Ovis aries: one gene and its partner. The protein of the gene in region 1 purifies or fractionates together with the protein of each later gene. This does not show direct contact. Links are inferred from orthologs where the notes say so. Each region holds a gene or a part of one and is shown in the gene's direction. Other genes may lie near its edges.

What was found.
Region 2: the proteins of NGFR (region 1) and NDN purify together in Homo sapiens (affinity purification with western blotting; 3 studies listed by BioGRID). This does not show direct contact. The link is inferred for Ovis aries from reciprocal best matches to the Homo sapiens genes NGFR and NDN.

What each region holds. Positions count from the first base shown.
Region 1 is NC_056064.1:36,823,239-36,830,132, reverse strand, and holds the end of NGFR (tumor necrosis factor receptor superfamily member 16), read left to right. Parts: intron 1-194; coding exon 195-447; intron 448-1,664; coding exon 1,665-1,825; intron 1,826-2,515; coding exon 2,516-2,817; 3' UTR 2,818-4,732; downstream 4,733-6,894. UniProt on the Homo sapiens protein: Low affinity receptor which can bind to NGF, BDNF, NTF3, and NTF4. Forms a heterodimeric receptor with SORCS2 that binds the precursor forms of NGF, BDNF and NTF3 with high affinity, and has much lower affinity for mature NGF and BDNF.
Region 2 is NC_056071.1:618,893-626,041, reverse strand, and holds NDN (necdin), read left to right. Parts: upstream 1-3,682; 5' UTR 3,683-3,770; coding exon 3,771-4,748; 3' UTR 4,749-5,312; downstream 5,313-7,149. UniProt on the Homo sapiens protein: Growth suppressor that facilitates the entry of the cell into cell cycle arrest.

The sequences.
Region 1 (6,894 bases):
TGATTCTTAGATCCTTGGTTTTCTCCTCCATCGTGATGTCATATATCCAATCCAAGCCCACCCCTGTATGTGTAGCCGCTGGGCATACAAGCATCTGGGGCCGGGCCAGGGCTGGGGTAAAGCTCGGGGGGTCAGAACCTAGTGGGGGGACTCGAGGGAAAGTGGGTCCTCACTCCTGTAGCCTTTTCTTCCAGAGATCCCTGGACGTTGGATTACACGGGCCACGCCCCCAGAGGGCTCCGAAAGCACAGACCCCAGCACCCAGGAGCCTGAGGTACCTCCAGAGCAAGATCTGGTGACCAGCACTGTGTCAGATGTGGTGACCACGGTGATGGGCAGTTCCCAGCCTGTGGTGACCCGAGGTACCGCCGACAACCTCATCCCTGTCTATTGCTCCATCCTGGCTGCGGTGGTTGTGGGCCTTGTGGCCTACATCGCCTTCAAGAGGTGAGAGGGGGAACCTGAAACAGGGAGCCAGATCTTTGGCCTCAGGGAGAGCTTCGCTGTGACCATGACCTGAAAATGCACACACTCTTTTAACTCAACCCCAAACCAAGCTCATCCGCACTTGCCATCAACCTCACCCTGAAGTTTTTACTTCAAGGTGTGGCAGGTCAGCAGGAGGCAAGGAAGGGGATTGTTCCTGTCCCGCCCTGGTGCCAGCACCTCCCCACTGTGCGCCCCTACCTGACTCCTCAGCCTCCAGCTGCACACAGAGCTGCTTTTACCAGCTGCTTGCATCCTCATTCCCTGGACCCCATTTATTCACACAGTTACCTGTGTGTGTGTGTGTGTGTGTGTGTGTGTGTGTGTGTGTGTGTGTGTATCTTTCTTTCCTATGTCACACATGGATGTTACGGGACTCATGTCCAGAAATCCAGGATGTGGAGAAGACCTCGAAAGCATTCTAGATGTTTAAATGCATTTTCCATTCTTTAGAAAAAAAATCATCAAAGAAATAACATGGTTTTTGGGATAATGCAGAGAAGACCAATGTCTTGTAAAGCAAAAAGTAGTAAAACCTCCTTTTATCTCCCCATAAACACATGTGTATAAAACCTTTTATAGTTATATGTACACACAGGTTGGCTTTTTTTTTTTAACATCAATGTGATCACACTCTACATATTGGACAACTTGCTTTTTCACTGATCTCCCTTGGGAGAGCTTTCCTCAGAACATATAGAATTATCTGATTATTTATAACTGCTCATTCAATAATATGGGTGGAGTATAATTTATTTTACCAATCTCCTATCGATGGACATTTGGTGTGCTTTTAGCTTTTCCTTATTGCTTATAATAGCAGGGGAAATCCTTACCCGTACGCCAGCACACATGTGGGAGTACTTTAGAAGGAAAGATTGGGAAAAGTGAAATCCTGGGAAGTCATTTATTTGTGCACCATTCATCTCATGGACATTTACTAAACACTGGCCACATACACCAAGCCCTGGGCACCGCTGTGCCCTCACGGTGCTTCTGGTGTGGGCCGGGGAAAGGTAGGTAGAGGACAGGTATGTAGAGAGCCTCCCGTGCTGGGCAGGGGTTAGGGACCAGCCCCCACCAGGCCTTTGGTGCCCGCGCGCCAGAGCACAGACACTTTAGCCACGTGGCCATGTGGCTCCTCAGGCTCTGAGACTGGGCCTATGCTCTGGCTCCAGGTGGAACAGCTGCAAGCAGAACAAGCAAGGAGCCAACAGCCGACCCGTGAACCAGACGCCCCCACCAGAGGGAGAAAAGCTGCACAGTGACAGCGGCATCTCTGTGGACAGCCAGAGCCTGCATGACCAGCAGCCCCACACGCAGACTGCTGCAGGCCAGGGTGAGTAGCAGGGCTGGCCGGGGGCGGCGGGGGGCAGTGCGGGGTACTGAGGCAGGGAGAACAGGAGTAATTAAGGTTAGACTGTAGGAGGGACTGCAAAGGGGCTGCCTGCAGGCCTCTGGGTGGAAGGATGGAAGAGGTGGGATGAGAGAGTGGGTAGGAGAGGCCCTTGCCAGTAGAATGACTTGGGAAACAGAAGCTTTGACAAACTGGAGCATCTAGACTCATCAAGCTAATTGTCCCCCAGAGCTAATTACTCCTCAAAGTGGCTGCAATTAGCCTCCTGCCCAGGACTTCTGGGGAACGAGTAGTTAATTATGTCCCCTAATTGGTAGCCCATAGCCCAGCTCCAGACACTTGGCTGCAGTTGAGTCTAGGACCAGAAGTCCTGTCTCCTCTGCCTTGATTAATTGCTGGGGGGTGGGGGCAGGCAAGTTAGGGGCTGGGGATGGCTCTGGAGCTAAGGATGAGGAGGAGACATGAGTCAGCAACCCCCAGGTGCCTCCGCTGCCCTGCCCACATCTAGGACTGCATCTTGGGCATCCCTCTGCTTCTAGGGTCTTGGGTCCTCCCCAGACTGAGAGGAGAAATGCCTCAGCCCTTCTTGGGTCTTATTCCAGGCCCCCACACCCACTGTGGGAGAAAGGGGGTCTAGTGGGTAGTGTCTGACTCCCCCTGGGTTCTTGGCAGCCCTCAAGGGTGATGGAGGCCTGTACAGCAGCCTGCCGCTGGCCAAGCGGGAGGAGGTAGAGAAGCTGCTCAACGGCTCTGCGGGGGATACCTGGCGGCATCTGGCAGGCGAGTTGGGTTACCAGCCTGAGCACATAGACTCCTTCACCCACGAGGCCTGCCCAGCCCGTGCCCTGCTGGCCAGCTGGGCCGCCCAGGACAGTGCCACGCTCGACACCCTCCTGGCGGCCCTGCGGCGCATCCAGCGGGCTGACATCGTGGAGAGCCTGTGCAGCGAGTCCACGGCCACGTCCCCCGTGTGAGCCGGCCGGGAGCCCCTGCCCTGCCCCCGCATTCCGACGACCGATGCTCCAGCCAACCCCGCAGGGAAGAGCTGCCTGCCTCCAGGCAGGGCCTCAGCCCAGTCGCTGCCCCCGTGCGGCCCCGCCGCCTCCAGTCATTGCTTCTCCCTCCCGTGCTGCAGGTGCCCCTGCATCCTCTCCCACCCTCTCTGCCCCGTCGCCATCTCAGGCCTCCTGCTCGCTTCTCGCCCTGCTTCTCGGGGTGTCAGCCCCTCCCGCCTGAGCAGGTTGTCATATCTGGGGGGCTGACACCAGGGATGGTGTTGGGGGCATGACCAGGCTCCAGAGACTCAGACGGAGAGACTGAGGAAGCAGAGCCATGGATACTACACTGTGAACTTGGGGCACAAGGGAGCACCTTTGTGGCCTAAACCTCCCTCAGCCCCCTCCCCTCCTCCCCTGTGGCCTAAGATGAAGAGCCTCAGAGGTTTATCAGAGCTGGTAACGGGGTTGAAATCTAGTCTATCCCCCTCGTCGTACAGGACCGTGAGGCCCAGAGAGAGGTCATTTGCCCAAAGCATCCAACAATGGAGAAGCCAAAGATGAGCTGCCTGCCCCCTCACCCTGAATGAGGGGTGCAGGCCTCAGGCTTGCTGGAGGGGACCAGACAACCCTCTGGCAAGTGTCTCACAGCCAAAACCAGTCTGCTCTTCACCCTCTCCAGGCCTGTCCAGCCCCTGTGCAGGGCTCATGCTTCACCCAAGGCCTGACCCCCTGGTCTGTCCTGACCCCAGTCAGGGTCGGGGTTTGTGGCGAGGGGTGCAGCTTCCCTCTGCCTGTCCCCTCAGGCACGTCAATGTGACATCTGTGGTGTGGCCAGTCTGTAAGTATTTGCCATCCCAGCACAGACCTGGAGCTAACACAGGCAGCATCTTCCCCTGGAGTCAGCCTTGGGGGCTGGGGACTAAGGACCTCCCCCCTCAGCCAACCTGCAGCACACAGATTCACAGAGACACACACAGGATGAGAAATCTTGCTTCTCTCCAAGAGTTCTTTCTCTTGGGCCGAGGCCGGATCCTACTGGGGCAGCTGCCAGAGAAGCGTCGAAGGGAATTGAACTCTGCTCGCCGTCTTCCCTCACCCCCGGGTTTGGCGGGCCAAGGACGACTGAGGCTTGAGCTGGCGCCTGCCTTACAAGGACCTGCACGTGGAGGAATGCTCCCCCCTCCACCCTTTCCCTGCAAGCACGGGTTTGGCTGGGCCCCGGAGGCTGCAGTGAAGAAAAGTGGACCAGTGTGGGAACGCAGCTGGAAGAAATGGAGTTAGAGTGTGGCCCATCGAGGGTCTCTTGTGAGTTGAGACGACCCTTCAAAGGACTGTTTCTTCCCTAGCTTGGTACCAGAAAGGGGCCGTGAGGTCCCTCCTGGCCCGTTTTGCTTGATGTTGGAATGAGTGTGGCCCCCCTCTATTTAGCATGAACAAGCCCCGAGCAGGGTGCATACTGCCAGCCACCCCCTCCCCAGCCAAGGGGTTTCTCACCTCTGTATAAGGGACTGGGGACATTGTACATAGACCGCACTTCTTTGACCTGAATCAGTAACAGGAGGAGGAAACTCATCTGACCCCTCACCTGTGAATTTGGGAAGTGGGACAGAGTCTGAGGTATTTATTTTCCTCCCCAGCAGCGAAGGAGGGGGTTGGAGGTTGCAAGTATGTTTTAGCATGTGTTTGGTTCTGGGGCCCCTCCTGCCTCCCTTCGGGCTGAGATGGAGCCCTTTTGCCCAGTCCCTCCCGCAGCTGGGAGCTGTAAGCTCCAGACTCCTTGTCACCCTCCCTGTCACCTGCCCCTTGCATCCTGTGTAATCATTTCTTGGGTCCTCCTGAAACCTACACATAAAACATAAATGATGAACATTAAATAGCAAACAAAGAAAAATCGTACAGAGATTTTCTGGAAACATACATGGTTTGAGTTGGTAGGGCGTTGTGTGTGTGTGGTAGGGACCTGTGTATAATTTCCAACTCAGTGAGTTTCTGTCCTATTTCCCGCCCCCCTCCCCCACATAACGGGGAAGTTTTAACAGAAATCCAGCAAATTCCCATGTGTCACCGTGGAGTTAAGTGGGATGAAGACGGAGTGGGGGCCTTAGCCGCCAGACCTTGGAGAGGGAAAGTGAAAATGGCCATGCAGGAAGCTGGCCAGCTGTGAACTTAACCAGATGTCAGAAGTGAAACTGACCACAGGGGAGCCAGAGGCTTGCTAGGAGGGCCGGGTCACAACCCCACAGCTCCCAGCCACCCACATGACCTGGGAGGCACTCCTCAGGCCAACACACAAGCACACACAGACAGTCCTGCTCCAGATGGCCTGGCAGGAGCCTGGCTGGCCCAGCCCGAGTTGGGCAGGCCTCTCCCCTGTGGCTCTCCCAGGCAGGTCCCAGCCCCAGCTCCCACCAGCCTGGCTTTGTGCCCTGCCCGGTCCAGGAGCTGCAGACTTCCAGGCCCTGGGCCTGTGCCCCTCTCCCAGGCTGGCCAGACAGCTGGTTTGAGCTGTTCAGCTTGTGGTTGCTAGGGAATGCCACGGGAGGCTTGCTTTCCCACAAAGAACAGCAAACAAGCTTTCCTGATCTTGGGATCCTGGGAAGGGCCAACCAGACCCCAGCCAAGAGTTATGTGTGAGGTGGAGGGAGGCGTCTTCCGTCTCCCACCCCCAGCCTGTGAGGGTTGTGAGGAAGGTGGTGGGGAGGGGCAGTGATTTGGAGTCGAAATTAGAAATGATCCTGGGTCTTGGTAACCCCACTGTGATGGCAGAGACAGACTCTTGAGGGGCCTCCCCTTCAAAGAGGGGAGACACAGCCCCAGACTTGAGGATACCTCTAATCTGATGAGGGAGACAATTCCTGTCCTAGAAGAGCCTCCATTCTGATGGGGAAATGCCTCTAATTTGGTGGACGAGAGCCAGATGCTGCGTGTGGAAATAAGGAGGTGCAGACCCTTCCACAGTCTTAAGTTCTTGATGGGGAGGCAGCAGACAGCCCCTGATGGTGTGGAGTGCCATGCTAAGGGTGAGTGGGAGTCCCAGCCCAGACGCCCCTCCCAGGGGTTAGGGAAGGGTAGCCAGGAAAGAGACACTGAGACTAAGCCCTACTGAAGTGGAGTCAACAAGCTGGGGGAGGAGGAATTTCCTGGCAGAGGAATCAGCGCAGCAAAGGTCCTGAAGAGAGAGAACAGAGCACATGGGCCCTGGGGAGACTCCTGTGCCTGGAGCCCAGAGAGCAAGTCAGGGGGGCCAGATAAGGAAGGGCTTACAAAGAGATACACTAAAGCCACCTGGACTAATCTTAGAACACTGGGGAGCCACTGAGGGGGATTAAGCAGGGGGATGCCATAGACAGGTTACCATCTCAGAAAGCACAGCTCTGATTGCCATGAGGGTCATTAGGGTGGGACAGAATAAGTGGGCCAGGAGGTGGAAGTGAGAGGTAAAGGAGGAGCCACAGGGCTGGCAAGAAGAGGGCATCGTGAAAGCTCCTTACAGCACACGGGATGGGATAGGAGGTGTGGAGGTAACTGATACTGGTCTGGGGCTCCTGGGGACAGTGGGGCAGAGAACCTGAAAGACAGTGCCAGAGATTCACACCGACCTACCACCGCATCGTGGAGAAACCCTCTTTGTCCTCCTTCAGCCTAACTTTCATCCCTTCTCTAATTCCCCTGCAAGAGCAAAACTGCTTCTTTAATGTTGCCTCAGAGGCTGTGTGAGACTCCTGCCAACCCCTCAGAGGCTGTGTGAGGCTCTTGCCAACCCCTCCAGACTCACTGCCTTGCTCCATCTGTCCTCATCCTCACTCTGTGCTTCCCCACACCAGCACTCTCACAGTTCTTGAAGCTTCAAGCCACAGGGCCTTTGCACATGCTATCCCTTCTGACTTCTGTCCTTCATTGGAAGGACTGATGCTGAACTTGAAGCTTCAATACTTTGACCACCTGATGCAAAGATCTGACTCATTGGAAAATGAGTTCCCACCTGATGCTGGGAAAGATTGAAGTCAGGAGGAGAAGCAGACGACAGAGGATGAGATGGTCGGATGGCATCAC
Region 2 (7,149 bases), on another chromosome or scaffold:
GCAAGGCATCACTGGAACTCCAGACCCAAATCTTGACCTGACAATTAAACATTTGTCAATGCCTCACGAGTACTGACTTCCTTTTCTATTCACAGTTGTCACCTGCCTTTTTATCTTATTGTTCTGAAGGTCTGCATCTCTGAGTTATGAGGAGGCATCTTATCATGTTGCTATTCTTAAGCTGTCAAACTACTGACCACTGCCATGACATAACTACAGGGGCACTCTCTCTACTTAAAGGATATTTCAAGCTTTACTTTTTCCAATTGTGTCTCCAAGGATTTTCTTTTTTGTTGGAAATGGAACCTTTACCACAAAAGTATTCTTGGAAGAAAATATCCTGTTACCAGATATACAGTTGGGCTCCAAGGGTAAGCAACACTAGGGGTTTACCATGTACTTGGTTTCAAATTTGGCATCAGTTCCAAATCTTTAAACCTTCTGAGTATAATCCCTCATAGTGGTTCTAGTCCGCAGACTCTGGGATAGTATTAAACAACCCACCCAATAGAAGAGAGATGTGGAGTGAGCTGTGGCAGGTGTGTCTTCCACTCATCATGGGAAAAGTCACCAAAATGAAGACCAGTCTGGCTCAAGCAGCACAAGCAATTCTCTTGGTCAAAGATCTGTTATGCCACAGAAAAAGAAGCTTTTATAATTTTAAAATTGTTGTGCTTTTATATTTGTTTATATAATTGCTTTCCTACTTTTTCTATGTAAGTGTTAACTGTTGTGCTCAAGTATGAAATTTAATTTCATCAATCCATTAAATCTAGGAGGGTGAAATATGAAGATGGAATTTTATTAATCACAATAGCAAAAAGTATGGTCCATGGCCAAAGCTGAGCTGAGATTTAAATAACAAGCTCAAATGTTTTCATTATTAAAAATAACTTAAATGAATGCAATCACTAAACCAACCAAACAGAAACAAATAAGTATACAAATGAATTAAAAAAGAAGAAAATTAGTGGAAATAAACTGCAAGAAATGAGGATTATTTTAAGAAGAATGGGGGCAATCAATCAATTTAAGCCATTCTTACATAATAATAATTGAAAACACTAATATAGCTAATACTACTCTGTAAGGAATATTTAAAAAATAGAAACCTATAAATTAAAGAGAAGAAAATGATGAACAAGAAAAATTGCAGTTGAGATATATCTAAATGAGCTGTAGGAATTATCCTTGTGAAATAAAAGATTAAGGGGTGTTATTGGACTGAGGTCAAATTGGTCCTCCTAAAAGTGATACAAGCATGAAAATCCAAAGATAAAAACAGCTAAGGGAAAAACCCTTTGAAGTCAATCTACTTGAGTAAAGTGAGAAATGAGAAAAGGGTACAAGCAATTTTTAAGGACTCTCCACACTGTTTTCCATAGTGGTTGTACTAGTTTGCATTCCCACCAACAGTGTAGGAGGGTTCCCTTTTCTCCACACCCTCTCCAGCCTTTATTGCTTGCAGATTTTTGGATCGCAGACATTCTGACTGGTGTGAAGTGGTACCTGCCATATGACCCAGCAGTCCCACTGCTGGGCATACACACCAAGGAAACCAGAATTGAAAGAGACACATGTACTCCAATGTTCATCGCAGCATTGTTTATAATAGCCAGGACATGGAAACAACCTAGATGTCCATCAGCAGATGAATGGATAAGAACGCTATGGTACATATACACTATGGAGTATTCTCGGCTGTTAAAAAGAATACATTTGAATCCGTTCTGATGAGATGGATAAAACTGGAGCCGATTATACAGAGTGAAGTAAGCCAGAAAGAAAAAAAACCAATACAGTATACTAACACATATATATGGAATTTAGAAAGATGGCAATGATGACCTTGTATGCAAGACAGCAAAAAAGACATAGATGTGTATAGCCGACTTTTGGACTCAGAGGGAGAGGGAGAGGGTGGGATGATTTGGGAGAATGGCATTGAAACATGTATACTATCATGTAAGAATCGAATCACCAGTCTATGTCCGATGCAGGATACAGCATGCTTGGGGTTGGTGCATGGGGATGACCCAGGGGGATGTTGTGGGGAGGGAGGTGGGAGGGAGGTTCATGTTTGGGTTCGCATGTACACCCATGGTAGATTCATATCAATGTATGGCAAAACCAATACAGTATTGTAAAGTAAAATAAAGTAAAAATAAAAATTAAAAAAAAGAAAAGGGTACAAGCTAATAAAGAGAGGATTCTAGAAATGTCAAAACAATATTGTAATATGAGTTAGGTTTCGAGTGACAATAGCCAGACTCACTGAGGGCATATGTAAGAAGCTGCCAGTTTGAGGAAACCCAGGAATGGCTGAAAGACCACAATGGCTTATACAAGGCATGTTGATTAGCTGCAGGAACATTGGATCCAGAGGTTTCTGTGCCCAATTTTTTTTTTTAAAGGATGCACCTCTGGGACTGTCAACTTTGTTTTTGTTGACAGTCTCAAACAAAACTGCAGATTTGGTTTCTAAATTTGAAAACTGATATACAACCACCAATTGTTACATCTCAAATCAATTGTTATCTGGGAAAATTTTGGGGATCTAGGTTAATTTAAAAAAGAAAAAAAAAGTATCTTGGGAGGGATTTGCATGTGATACTATTCAGTATCTGTGGAAGATGGGGATGTTGTGCTCTAAGAAGGTGAAGTTTCCACAGGAAGAAAAGCGGAGGTTGAAACAGTCATAAAGAAAAGGAAGGTCCTGGAAAAACAGGCGGAAAGACATCCTATGAGTCTATGCTAATATAATCTTTGTGTGAGGGGATTCTAATGAAACAAAATTTACATCAAAATTATCCAATGGAATAGAAAAACCAAAATCAATGACCATTAAAACACTAACAAAGTCATTATTATATTGCCTTCAAGAGAACTTCGATCACACTCGGATTGACAACATTCTGCATTTCTTGTTCAAAACTCTTCCATACGGTAGGAAATCAATGAATTTTTGTTGTTATTCTTCAGAATTCCAATTTGTCCAATTAGTTCTCCTGGTGGCTCAGAGGGTAAACTGTCTGTCTGCACCGCGGGAGACCTGGGTTCAATCCCCTGGAGAAGGAAATGTCAACTCACTCCAATATTTTTGCCTGGAAAAGCCCATGGACATAGGAGCCTGGTAGGCTACGCCCATGGGATCGCAAAGAGTCGGACATGACTAAGCGACTTCTCTTTTTCAGAGTTGACATATTTTCTTGGGCAATCCTGGCTGTTCTCTCAGTTTAAATTCTCACACTGATCTGAAACCTAGTTGACACACCAGCCTAGTTCTTACTCTTGGATTGATCTCTAACTTGATTTTGGATATACCTAATCAAATGCTTCCTAAGAAAGTTCAGTTTCAGCATTTCAGAAGCTTAAATTGCCATCTGTCCCTTAAACTGACTCCTTGTCCAGTGCTCACCCATCTCCCTCCCCTCCTCCTCAAGAACTCCTCCTTAGCCATAACAGGATACCTGGGGAGGGGGTGTGATCACTGAGGCCCATATTCTAGCGGACCCTCTATGCTTACTGGGGGCCTCCTAGCCCCCTCCTGCAGCCCACCAGGAGCCCCGCCCGCCAACTCGACTGCCGGGCCCCAGGCGCGCGGACGCGCAGGCGCATTGGCCCGGCCCGCCGCCGCCCCGCCCTGCCTGGCCTCTGCGGAAGGCGCCGCGCGCAGCAATGCGCACTTCCTCTCCAGGAGTCCGCGGAGGGAAAGCAGACTCGAAGAGCTCTCGGACTCGGCGGCCCTGCTCTTGCGAGACCGAACAGATATGTCCGAACAAAGTAAGGATGTGTGCGACCCCAACTTTGCGGCCGAGGCCTCCAACTCCGAGGTGCACGGCAGCCCCGGCATTACCGGGGGGCCCTCTCCTCCGGGGTCTCAGGCCGCGACACTCACTGAGCCAGAGCGCCCTCCCTTAAGCCCGCCTGATGCCCCTCTGGTCTCGCTGCCTTCCCAGGCTCCAGGCGAAGAGGGAGACCCGAAGGCCCTGCAGCAGGCCGCTGACGAAGGCCGTCCCCACCAGGCCCCGAGCACAAGTCAGCTCAGCCCGGCGCCCCCGGCCCCGGCCCAGCTGGTGCAGAAGGCACACGAGCTCATGTGGTACGTGCTGGTCAAGGACCAGAAGAGGATGATCATCTGGTTCCCAGACATGGTGAAGGATGTCATCGGCAGTTACAAGAAGTGGTGCAGAAGCATCCTTCGGCGCACCAGCCTCATCCTCGCACGCGTGTTCGGGCTGCACCTGAGGCTGACCAGCCTGCACACCATGGAGTTTTCGCTGGTCAAAGCTCTGGAGCCAGAGGAGTTGGACAGGGTCGCTCTGAGCAACCGCATGCCGATGACGGGCCTCCTGCTGATGATCCTGAGCCTCATTTACGTGAAGGGTCGCGGCGCTCGAGAGAGTGCAGTCTGGAACGTGCTGCGCATCTTGGGGCTGAGGCCTTGGAAGAAACACTCCACCTTCGGAGACGTGAGAAAGCTTATCACCGAGGAGTTCGTCCAGCAGAACTACCTGAAGTACCAGCGCGTCCCCCATGTCGAGCCCCCTGAGTACGAGTTCTTCTGGGGCTCCCGTGCCAGCCGCGAAATCACCAAGATGCAGATCATGGAGTTCCTGGCCAGGGTCTTTAAGAAAAACCCCCAGGCCTGGCCTTCCCGCTACAGGGAGGCTCTGGAAGAGGCTAGAGCCCTGCGGGAGGCCCACCCCACTGCCCACTGCCCCCGCAACAGTGTCTCCGAGGACTAGCAAGGTCTGGAGGCAGATGGAAGTTTTCTGCCCCTCACCAGGGTGGAGGAAGGGTGGGAGTGTGGGACGTTAGAGTATTCAGGATCTACAGTGCAGTATTTCACGTGTAACTTTTAAGTTTTCCATACAGTGCTTTTATACCTCTTAATGCAATGTTGTGTTCATTTCAGTAATATTAGTGTATAGGATTCATGCATGGTTGTTTGTAATTAAGCTCAGTTGGTGCTTTCGCTTTTGTGCTACCTTTCTTGAATTTTTTGTACCAGAGACATGCTAAACTTATGAAATACACTGAGGCATTTTCCATATTCTTTTACGTGTGACGGAGGCTGTGTATTGGGGTAAATTGGTCTTGCAGAGTTTGGAAAAACTCCCCAGAAAAGCTGGCCTAACCAAGAGAAAAGTTGACCCCTGTCTTTGTGCTCTGCCTGGGCACGGGAAACATCCCTGTGGAGTTTGGTGATGTGAACTGAAACAGACTCAATGTGGGCACACTTTACTAAACACAGATACAACCTCACCATGAGTAAACTTTAAACATTAAAGATTCTTGTGATACAGTCATTCATGGAAAAAGTGTACTTTATCTTCTTAACAGAATATTATGGGTTTGGAATGGGAATTACAAAGTATACAGATATAACTATTTCATCTAATAGGACGGGGATGTCAGTACTCATCATGACTCATAAATATGTAAAGGGCATAGTTTTATTTTCAGGAAGGAATTCACAAGTTCATATCAAAGCTTTGACAAGTAGAAGTGCAAAAACCAAAACAGGGGTCATAATCACATTATATAGAAATAACAAATGCTGATATTTAGAGTAATTGCCCCTCTTACATTTTCCATATTTTCTAAAAAATAATAGCTGTCTTTTGTGGGCACTAAGAGAGGCCTTGTACTAAACCCTTACATATATTTTCTCTCTTTAATCCTCACAATAGCCTTGTGAAGCAGGCACCGTGGAGGAAATACAGAAATAAAGCAGATAATTAGCTTTCCCTGGATCATAAAGGCTTCCTGGGAGGAGAGGCTTAGTTTTAGGGTTTGGACCCAGACTGAATGAGCCCAGAGGCCGAACTTATACTCACCTGCCTCCAGCTGCCCTCCTGACTCCTGCCTTTTAGATTGTGCCTTTAAAAAGTTCCATGTTAGCATCTTTAGTTTTCATGTTATAGCCTGTACTTGTAGCTCCCTACTCTCAACACACACACACAGCTAAAGATTATTACTAATGAATCCTAAACATTCATCTTTTAGGGGAATTAAGTCATATTCTGTACAAGTCAAGGAACTTCATTTCAGAGAGGTTAATGGATCTAACCAAGTCCTGTTCCTACTTAGCAGTGAACCCAAGATTTGAAGCTTGGTCTTTTCTGAAGGACTGTGCTGATGGAGCTGACTGCCCAGTGGTCTGGAGGAACATACATGGGACACCTTGGAGAGGGATGTGGGGTTGGGGTGGGAAGGTCGCCTATTAGGGTGTCTCCAAAATTGCCATGGGCCACTAAGCAACCACTCAGAAGGTGGGATGGGGTCAGGGAGGGGCAGTGTCTGAGGATAAATCTCATTAGGGAGCTCAAAGCTGCAAGGGGGAGAAAGAGAAATAGGATTTAATAAGACCAAAAATCCTTCAAACATCAGAACATTGAAAAAGATCATTTCGTTAAAGCCAAACCCTTTTCTGGGGAAGATGGAAAATGAGGGGAATGCATAGGTGACATTACCCCCAAAAGAAGTAATCTGAGAGTTGTATTTGTGTGAGAGAATTACTATCTGAATTGGAGACTAGGATTCCCAGCGCTTAAAGAACATTACTTAACAGGCAGGTGCTGGTGCTAAAGTGCTGAAGAAGCCTCCCATGTCCTGAGAGGAAGTTTATCCCTTTTAGTAGATGTCCTGTGAGGTCTCCTGTGGGGAGTAGTGGGCATTTCTGCAATAACTTAGGCAAGTGTGCCCTGGCTTTGATGCCACCTCTTAACTGAGCCAAAGCTAATTCAGACATTTTAAAACTTAAAAAAAAAAATTACCTCCATCTCAACCCAAAACTTCCTGCAGAAACAAAACAAATCTGCCCCTTTAAATGTAAGTCTCCCCAGCCAAGCTGGGGTGCTGGACACTTTGTCTAATGCCCTAATTCAGCTTGAAACAACTGTTTAACTCCTGAGCACTTCTTTCATCAAACCCAGAAGTCACCAGCCACGCAGTCCTTTTACTTCCCAGTGTTTGTATTTGCTTTCTTTTCTGCCAGGAAAGACTGGCAGAACCACCCCAGAGCTTCTCCCAAGCTCCCTGACACAGGCACATCACCGGTGCTGTAGAGGACCAAATCTTGAGCGAAGGACAGGATCATGAGAAATGAGAAGCTGACCCCAGCAAGCTGACCCCATGTGGGCA